2 linked regions of the Neodiprion lecontei genome follow. Each later gene encodes a partner of the first gene's protein in a complex. Links are inferred from orthologs where the notes say so. Each region holds a gene or a part of one and is shown on either strand. Other genes may lie near its edges.

The links.
Region 2: the proteins of uncharacterized protein LOC107223905 (region 1) and dual specificity mitogen-activated protein kinase kinase dSOR1 are in contact, whole or in part, in a cryo-EM structure (PDB 8BW9), measured with the Drosophila melanogaster proteins. The link is inferred for Neodiprion lecontei from reciprocal best matches to the Drosophila melanogaster genes cnk and Dsor1. Residues at the interface, in NP_001286524.1 of Drosophila melanogaster: Arg46, Tyr48, Arg72, Tyr76, Thr92, Lys95, Asn96, Arg99, Arg103, His117, Arg121; in NP_511098.1 of Drosophila melanogaster: Arg200, Gln255, His258, Gln262, Tyr319, Val321, Asn322, Glu323, Pro324, Lys347, Gln348, Asp350, Glu351, Arg352, Ala353, Asp354, Lys356.

What each region holds. Positions count from the first base shown.
Region 1 is NC_060260.1:24,524,597-24,529,442, forward strand, and holds the start of uncharacterized protein LOC107223905, read right to left. Parts: upstream 3,045-4,846; 5' UTR 2,939-3,044; coding exon 2,881-2,938; intron 2,338-2,880; coding exon 1,748-2,337; intron 491-1,747; coding exon 380-490; intron 1-379.
Region 2 is NC_060263.1:21,129,116-21,133,853, forward strand, and holds the start of dual specificity mitogen-activated protein kinase kinase dSOR1, read right to left. Parts: upstream 3,051-4,738; 5' UTR 2,519-3,050; coding exon 2,394-2,518; intron 641-2,393; coding exon 415-640; intron 329-414; coding exon 216-328; intron 140-215; coding exon 28-139; intron 1-27. Other genes in the region: 60S ribosomal protein L17, read left to right, coding at 3,516-3,596, 4,060-4,219. UniProt on the Drosophila melanogaster protein: Required downstream of Raf in the sevenless (sev), torso (tor), and Drosophila EGF receptor homolog (DER) signal transduction pathways.

The sequences.
Region 1 (4,846 bases):
AACTGACATCACAATTAATAATGACCATAGGAAAACTCAATATCTTGTGTCATTTGAAAATTATGTTTCACATGTATCATATTCATGGTGAATGCAAGCTTGCAAAACCAGTTGTTTAAAATTAGGCCTACTTGATCAGTATCTCATTCTTCCTAATATTACTCCTCACATACCTATACAATTTCTCCCACTAATGATGTCTAACTATTATTTTCCAACATATATCAATGTTAAAGGAATAGAGATTTTGTTTAGAAATTCTTCTTTTTTTTTAGGTAGCCTCAATCATATGAGGAAAATTGTTTATTGGAAAATTATGCCATGTCGGTATTCAAATTTAAATTAATCATGCAATAAATTCAACTGATCGGTTATTTACCTGGACAATTTCATCACCTTCTTCCATTTTACCGCATTGATGTGCTGCAGATCCGAATTTAATTTCAGCTATTTGATGAGCACCATGGAACGATGGCAATATGTAGAAGCCCTGAACATAAAACATTTTTGAATTATTTCAACTAACAATATTTATCATGGAACATTAATCATGAAATTATTCATCTGATTGTGAGTAAAAAATTTACAACTGTATTGCGTTTTAATCTTGATATATATATACAGGGTGTCCTATTGCTGAAAATATGCTCAAATATATCAAAAACTAAGCATTAAATTGAACAATGTGTCGGACAAAAATTGTTGTATATGAAGGGGGACATCAGATGAGCATCCCAGTTTTTGGATCTGGGGCCTTTGCTGGGCCCATTGGGGCCCAACTTTCGTTTTTCAAATGGAACCTGCTATTTTTTATTTTACTTTCGTATTTCTCATTAAAAAGTAAGTTTTACTCCTAGTAATTTTTTAGTTATCGTCTTCAAATAAGCGTAAAACTTTATTAGAAGTTTTCTCGTGAGAAAAGTGGTAATACATCAATCACTGTCAAGAATTTAAAAATGAGAACAAATTCTACAATGAATAGAATTGTTCAATGTTGAAAAGTGGTTAGGCGCTTGTTTATGTTTGTTTTTAAGCATTGCCAAGCATTTAAGAACTGTGGGAATTAGCGTCACTTGATGTATACCCTAGGGAGGTTGTTTGGTCAGATTTTTAAAAACTTTTTTTTCACTTTTGACCGAAACATCTTTCAATTTAATGATTAAATTTCGATATATTGGTGCGTATTTAAAAAAATGAGACACCCTGTATTAGCGTAGACATGAAAATTAGTCATCACTACGTACACTATTAAAAGATTGATTTTATATGAGATAATTTAATCGGACAAAAGAATTCTGTATAAATCCTTGTAATTGCATTTAAATAGTATTTCATACTGCTGAAATAGGTTCCATAATTGAATTGTAAGTAGAATACAGAACTCCATGGTCGTATTAAATTCAGATTGTACACAAGAAGTATTATCTGCAGAGGAAATGACAATCTTACCGACATTCATGCTTTATCTCAAACGGATGTGGTTGCTAAGCATTCATTGATGTTTATTGATAATATTGAAAAGTCTCATAAGAATCTTTTACTCAATTAACAATAACTTTATCTCGATCAAATTAAATCTTATTATTACTGTTTTATATAAATATTGCACAACTTTTAAATATATATTGCATAGTATCATACGATGTATATGAGAAATTGAATAAGTTAATTATGAAGCTGATTTCATTGTCAAAAGAAAGATATCAGAAAAAATGCTATAGAAAAACGATTACTTTTCATTACTTACCAAATCATCACCTGGCCTTTTCTTTAACGTTGCTAAATCCAGACTCGCTGGCTGTAATATCATCGGATCGGCCATGTCTTGTATAATGTAATCAGCCAATTTAGCTAGTTGTCCACAAGTAGTTCTTATCTCTTCAATCGGTCTTTCAGCGAATCTGTCACGTTGAGCGCAGGTCGCCATTTCTATGGAAAGCTTCAACAACTCGGCCTTTTTATCATTGTATTCTAGTTGGCCGCTAAACGGAGATCGATCAAGCCAACAGACCAAAGGCTTCAGAGATGTTACAACCGATGCTACGTCGGATAAAGTTTGAGTGGTGACGGGTTTAGAATCGGTTTGTCGAGATAATTCATTATGCAGACTGTGGGCCTGACAAGACAGTCGTAATGCCAGAAGCTGCAAATTTTCATGGTCAAGTTCATAGTGAAAGTTTCTCAAATACTCAACAGCTTCGAGAATTATTTCTTGATGGCCAAGCTTCAGTACCCCAAGGTGTTCTAAGTCTTCCGGTCTGAGATTCAGTAGTTGTTGACCATTCACAACATGGTTCATAAAACTGTGAACGTACGGTAACACCGAATTGTCTAAGCCTGTCGAGAGAATTGCAAGAACGTATTAGCAAATGATGAATGTTAAAAATTATTGTCAAAAAAATATAAAGGACTTTGGCAAAAGTGAATCTGATTTATGGGTAAAAATGTATGAGAACTTTACAGAAAGATATTTTATACAATCACCCTGAACGATGCACCCTGACTAAGAATGCATAATAATTATCAGATCTGGAATGAATGCATCATTGAAGTTTCAAGTAACAAAGGAGAGAATTATTTTTAGAACAACAAAAACAAACGAAAGACGTTCATTCAGTCACGCACATATCGAATTTATCAATGGATTACGCAATTAGTCATACTGAATGAACGAAATTAGCCTTCACAAACGAAGTTTGTATTTGTATAACATACATGTATGGACGTAATAAACTACGAGGGCCGGGGGGCGTATACAGGAAATGGAGTTTTCGCGTCGTATAATACGAAAAACCGTCACTGAATTAATACGTACGATTCTAAGCACTTACAATGTGGCATAACAAATATTACGAAGTAATAATCAAGCCTTCCACGTACCTTTCAACCACTCACACACCTGATCTGTCTTCCATTCTGCGACATTGACGTACGCCATGGTTGGCTATTCATCTCTGACTAAAGATCGTCCAACACGAAACTCTCCCTCATGCTCTCCCTCCTCGCTGTGATCCCAATTCGCCTGGAGTTAAGGAGCCCGAACGCTGTACTATGGATGTGGACCCTGAAAGCGACGCAAAAGATATATAGGCTGTGGTGGCGCTGCTGTCGTCAGTATAGGATATAAGTATTATTATTACAGCAATGACCGGGCGTCGATAACGAATACTCCACACCTCATAGCATCACCAATGCCATACTTCATATCCTATACTCAAGGTCATTAGCCTATACTGACAAAACAAGCGCGCTCGTGGCTGAATTTCGAACTACAACCAACATATATCTTTTTCGACGATTTCAGCGTCCAAATTTATCATGATTCTCGTGTGCCGTTCGACCTCCTTAACTCTAGGCTCCATGTCCATGAGTGTGAAATGTATATCAGTGGTGTAAACACGGTCTTATAGACAGGTCTGGGAACTCCGGCTGTAAAACCGTGCTCGAAAATGAAGCCGATGTTGTGAAATTTCGCCGCTAGCGCTAGTGAGGGAGAGGCCTACTTAGGCCGTGTTCGTAAATTGACTGACAGTACTGAAAATTCCCTAGGACAGAGTCAGAGCTATTCACGAACTTGAAAGCGCAAAAGAGATGAAAGATTGCTGACAGTACTGTCAGTCAATTTTCGAACACGGCCTAAGTAGGCCTCTCCCTCCCTCCTTTAGTACGCATACACCGGTTTCGGAGATTGCAGCGCTCCGGTCTTTGGTGCACAAATTGAGAAACACAGGCTACAAGACGGTCACGCTGCGTTATATGTATAGGAAGAGGCTTGGAGTGCCCAGACCAGTGGCCCAGACTTGTCTATAAGACCGTGGTGTGAAGACTGGTAACCTCTCTCCATCAACGTTGCAGGCAACGCACAGAGAGAAGCCTGAGAGAGCCCACGCTAGCGTTTTTCGTGTTCCCGATTTCGTAGCGCACTCTGACACGAAATAGATTTCTGGAACTAATTTTCGAGGTGCATTGTCGGTAAGCGCATGTTGTTAACAGACCAACACTGCCGTCTTTAGCATCACGGAGGCAAGTTGATGTTCGTAATTTGTTCAATTTTTACTGCTGCTGCTGATCGCCGTAAAAGTGTTTTGTATCATTCACTGCTTTCGTAATGCCAAATACGGCAGAGTATTAAACGTTACCAACATGCCTTTACCATGCACCTCGAAAATTAGTTCCAGAAGCCTGGCTTGTCAGAGAGCGCTACGAGATTCGCAACACTCTCAAGCTTTTCTCGGTAATGCAGCACGTTAGTTTTTCCAACTCCCGTCGTGAACGCTTCACTTAGTAGAACTCCACAGCTGGCGTATGCATAAATTTCTCGTTTCCTTACATACGTGATTGAGTATTGCTAAAGCAGCTAGCCGTGTGCATTCCTTTGAATAATGCAAAAGGGCATGAGGTGCGCGGGGGTATTGGCAGCGCTCTACATTGACCGATTCACTTATGGCATTCCAATGTCAATTGGGTCGGTAACAGTAGGAAATATTCTTACCGAAGCTTACTCCCACCCAATCCCTCACCAAACTTCAGAAAGTTCAATTTAGCTGGCTTTCCATAGCAATTTTCAGAAAATGTTACATAGCTTTCCTACAAGCTTTTATTCCGCCAATGCGTAGCCATAGGTACCCTACATTTACTAACTCGCTTATGGGGTTTACAATGTCAGTTGAGTCGATAGTGGTCGGAAATTTCTGTACTGAAGCTTCTCTCGTTTTCTCACGCCGATTTGTACAGAGTTTCAGAATGCTGCCTTTGACAATCTTCAATCAACGTTTCACTATAGAGAGCCGGCCTATGGGAGTAGCGTGACAGAAAAATTTCTTTATATTTCATCCAGCAGGCATTG
Region 2 (4,738 bases), on another chromosome or scaffold:
AAATAAGTTTAGATAAATATTGCTTACCGCAGCTGTGATGGTACCCAATATCGATTCAGGTATTCTGCCAGCTTTTTTTAAAATCAGATCCAGCGATCCGCCGTCCATGTATTCCATGCATATGCTAATTTCGCCATCGCTAAAACAGCAATAACCATTGAAAAAAGCTGAAGTTTTACACAACAAGCAAATTGACGACATTAGCAAAATTATACCTGTAAAATGCTCCGTAGAAGCCTACGATGTGTGCGAAATTACACTCGTGGAGAACTTTGAGTTCCCTTATTATTTGTTTTTTGATGGCTGGTTTTACCTCCAGGTGGATCAGCTGAAATTACAACGAAAGAAATACAAGTTGATATATAAATATTCTGAATTATAGTTTACATTCAGCAGTGATAAATTCCAACATACCTTTCTAGCCATGATGAGACCGTACTTTTTGTGCCTGACTTTCATAACAACGCCACCATTTCCTGCACCCAGCTCTCCTAATTTTTCAAAATCCTCATCACATAATTCACCAACTTTTTCTTTTTGACCAAGAAAACTTTCCAATCTTTTGCGTTGTTCTTCATCCATTTCTAGTTCTTCTAATCGCTCTTGGAGAGCGTCGATACTCATTTTTCCCATCACACCACTGCATCATTTTATTAAATTAATAAATGTAAACACACCCACAGATTTCGTGGCAACTGTATTGAGGCTGCTAGTTACGCAGAAACAATTTGAAACAATTTAAACATCTATGTCGTTATTTCACAGGAATAAATCCACCGACATTTCAATACATGAACGTCTCCACAAAATTAATAGTGACAATAAAACGGAAGGTGGAAATATATCGATATTACGCAATTCTTGGAATGTGTATGTTGTGATATCAGTCAATAATAAATTTCATAGAGTACATTCCTTGACGAATTGGAAGTATATTTACAGTAATGGAAACAACAATTGATCAAATTTGCTGTAAATAATAAATGATACTTGCTTATTCGGGGTAAACAATATGTTTCGAAATTCAATATTTATCAATATGTACCAGTATTTTGGAGAAAATGTTGAATATTGTATCTGAAACTTCGGTTGATCAAGCTTATCTTGTAAACTCTATTAAATTCTTGAGGAGTAAATGAAACTTGGTGAGCTATCGGGAAGCACGACTTGATGAACTTAGGGCTAAATATCGCATCCATTTATCATTCAAATTCAGTATTAGTGACAACTATAGTTTTGACAGCTAAAGTAATGAACTGTACAATTATAAGTGGGTTACATAAGTGACAAACATAAGTGACTCCAATTTTCAGGTTCAAGTTTGCAAGTAAAGGCAACATAAGAAATATGAGTATAGAAGGTTCACCGGATTGCAGTGAAAAACTATACTTAAGGTTTGCTATGTGTATATGATTTTCCTTCATTTGCGATTTCCTGAATTGTAAATTGGTAAATTGATTGAATTACTTATGTTGGTATTTTGTTATTGTGAGGTTCGAACTTCAATCACATTTCAAATTGCAGTTTTATAAGTTATGATTGACAAAATAGATTAGATATCAATCAACACACTTTTAATTAGACATGATATGCAGACTAGTATCTCATACATTTGTATAACAGGTTTTAAAATTGAACCAGATTGTCTAAATTAACTAGTAATCAATGAAACTGTAAGCATATCTAGTAGTTGCATCTGTAAAGCATATTCAAAAAAATTTACTACAAAGTTCAGATTCAAAAATCAATTTAGGTTAACAATTTCCATAGAAAGAATATAGACTAGTTAAATAAAAATATCCAGAATTGGAATCTCAAGCTTTTCGAATTTGTTCACATAACTCATGCAGACTATTAAGGAAACAGAAAAATGTATTTTGCTTAGAAACAGTACTATTTCTTCTACTGATAACTATTCACACTGGAATGTAAAGTGGAAAACCATTTATTGTAAAAACTGAATTTTTCTCATGGAATAAACTTTTACTATCATCAGTATCAAAATCGCTCTTCATATTTGCACGGTAACAATGACTGTAAGACAATGTCAAGTTTCTTACTTTTCTTAATCCTCCGGGGATAACATTCACTGGCAGCGCAGTTATCATCTCACATGTGTGTTGCGGTTGTAGATAATAACAAAATACAGTAATTCGCAAAACTTCTAATGACAGTATAACGGAGACCGAACTTATTCCATCATTTACTATGTGACTAGCGTACAAATTGCATCCAAATAGAGACGCTGTGGCGCGACTAAGCACGGTATATAGGATAGTGAATTTAAAAAACATTGAAGTGTAAACAATGATGGTTGAACGATTAATTACAGCCTAATCAACTCTTCCAAAAGGTATTACATACGAGGTATTATTATAAAAGAGTAAACTTACTCTGGAATCGGTACTGCAGGTTCGGTGTAAACAGGCAACGGCGGAACCGGTGGCGAAGGTGAAACTGCTGCTACAGGTTCTATAGAACCTGGAGGTAGAGTCAGGTTCAATTTGTTCTTTGACATTTGTTACGGTGTGTTGAAAGCCTTTGAAAATCAAGAAGTCTTCTTTGAAAGGTAAGAATGAAAGTCAGGAACACTGCAGAGCGTTGAGTATCTCCCGTTAGTTGGTGGCACTTTATTATCTACTCGAAATCTCGATTTATTGGAGTATCAGTTAGTCGCGCATTATCATCAATATTCAATAGCTAAAAGCTCAAAGCCATCAAATAGCTGTGCACACATATGTGTATTCAACGTGATGACGAGGCTAAGCTGTCAAACGTCGAACTGTCAAATATGTTTCAACTCCCTTTCCGTGCGGTATAACCGGATTGGGACAACAAAAGTTCCGGAATTACGTGAATAAGGGTTCGGAGGTGAGCCGGAGAACTGTAAAAAAACTTTCGACGGGGTTATGATCGAGAAAACGTATGAAGGGAGTGAAAGAAGGTTATATCGGTTATACGGATCCTCTTGCAAGTTGCAGGGCACTGTTACACGGAAATCGGCTTGGGGTGAACATACGTACTTCCCGCGTCCCAAGTTCTCGACTTACTGGGAACCGTTTACGATATATGTACGCTGACGATTGCCGGGAGCCGAGTTTAGCACAAATGCCCCTAGGCTGAGCCGAGTATAGTAGTTGTGTAGAAATTGGTGGAAATTTGCTGTGAGATGGTAAAGCAGCGCCACCAACGGGAATCGTGTTGCGGACATGTGGCGAAGCTTCAACCATTGTGACGTCTTTTCCTGTAATATCGTTCCGCGAAGAGGTATGAGCCGAGCCTTGTTATTTTACGAATCTGTGTGCATCTGAAATATAATTCAAGTTATCGAGTATTGAACCTATCAATTACGTACGCTAAACTCTGATCTACAATTCAAGTGGCGAAGTTTTGTGATTTTGTGTTTCAAGTTACAATTATTGTCTGTAAAACATACGTGCCAGCTTCATGGCGCCGCCTGATGTTTTCCACATTTCGGAATAATTTAAACTGTATTCGTTTTATTTCAGGGCAAAATGGGACGGTATTCTCGTGAGCCTGATAATGCGACCAAATCGTGCAAAGCACGCGGTTCGAACCTTCGGGTGCACTTCAAGGTAAACAATTTCACGCTTCTTTCATTATTTGAGAATAACCTAGAAATTTACAATCTGCGGATGCTTCTGCTCGTGGTGTAAATTTTGCCAAGATTCTGACAATCGTATTTTTATTACAATTGAGCGTTCGATCGTATTGCACATTCCATGCATTAGGTAATTTTCAAGAGTTTGTGTGGTGTCTTATGGAAATCGTGTGCAATGTGTATTTTATACGTATTGAAATTTCAAATTTCCAACTTGCCAAGATCTGAAAGAATATAGTATTTCAAACTGCTATTATTTGTTTCTGAAAATGCGTGTAAGCTCGCCTGATGTATAAGTGAAATATTAGTAAAGTTGCATTTTCTTATGCTTTTTCTTTACCTTTCCTCGTATTTCTGGCACTTTACTTATAGACCTTTGAAAGAATATTATGTACTCGAAATATACTTCGTTAATAGAGTTGTTAAAATTCTTTCAGAACACTCATGAAACTGCTCGTGCTATCAAGGGTATGGCTCTGCGTCGTGCCCAGAGGTATCTGAAGAGTGTCATTGAACACAAAGAATGCGTACCATTCCGCAGATTCAACGGTGGTGTTGGAAGGTGTGCTCAGGCTAAACAGTTTGGCACCACTCAAGGTTTGTATGTTTGCAAACACGCATGTTTTTCAACTCCTTTTAATTTCGAAGTAGTGTGAAAATTTATTTTAACAAAACTCATTAGTTGGCAATAACAGCACTATCTGAAATTTAACGAACTGCAATGGAGTAACACATACATATGTATACTGCAAATTCAACTCCTTCAAACTCATTAAAAGCTGCAAAATGATGAACTTTAGTAAATGGTCTGTTACATTATTACTAATTTAAATCTCAATTTTTCTCACTGCCATTGTAATTCAATCATAGAAGCAAGGTATGTAATGTCGAAGAAGTTAGAAAGAAAAATGTATAGTTTGGGTTTTTTTTGTGAAGTTCCAGGAATTACGCACGATTTCTAGAATTCTAAGACTTTCTAATTGACGTAAGAAAATTATGTACTCTTATTGTGTCGGTATCAAGCACGCAAAGTTTATAATTCATTGAGCATTAATTTATTTAGGAACTACAGCATATTTATTCTTGAAAATTGATTGCATTATAAAACAAAGCAGC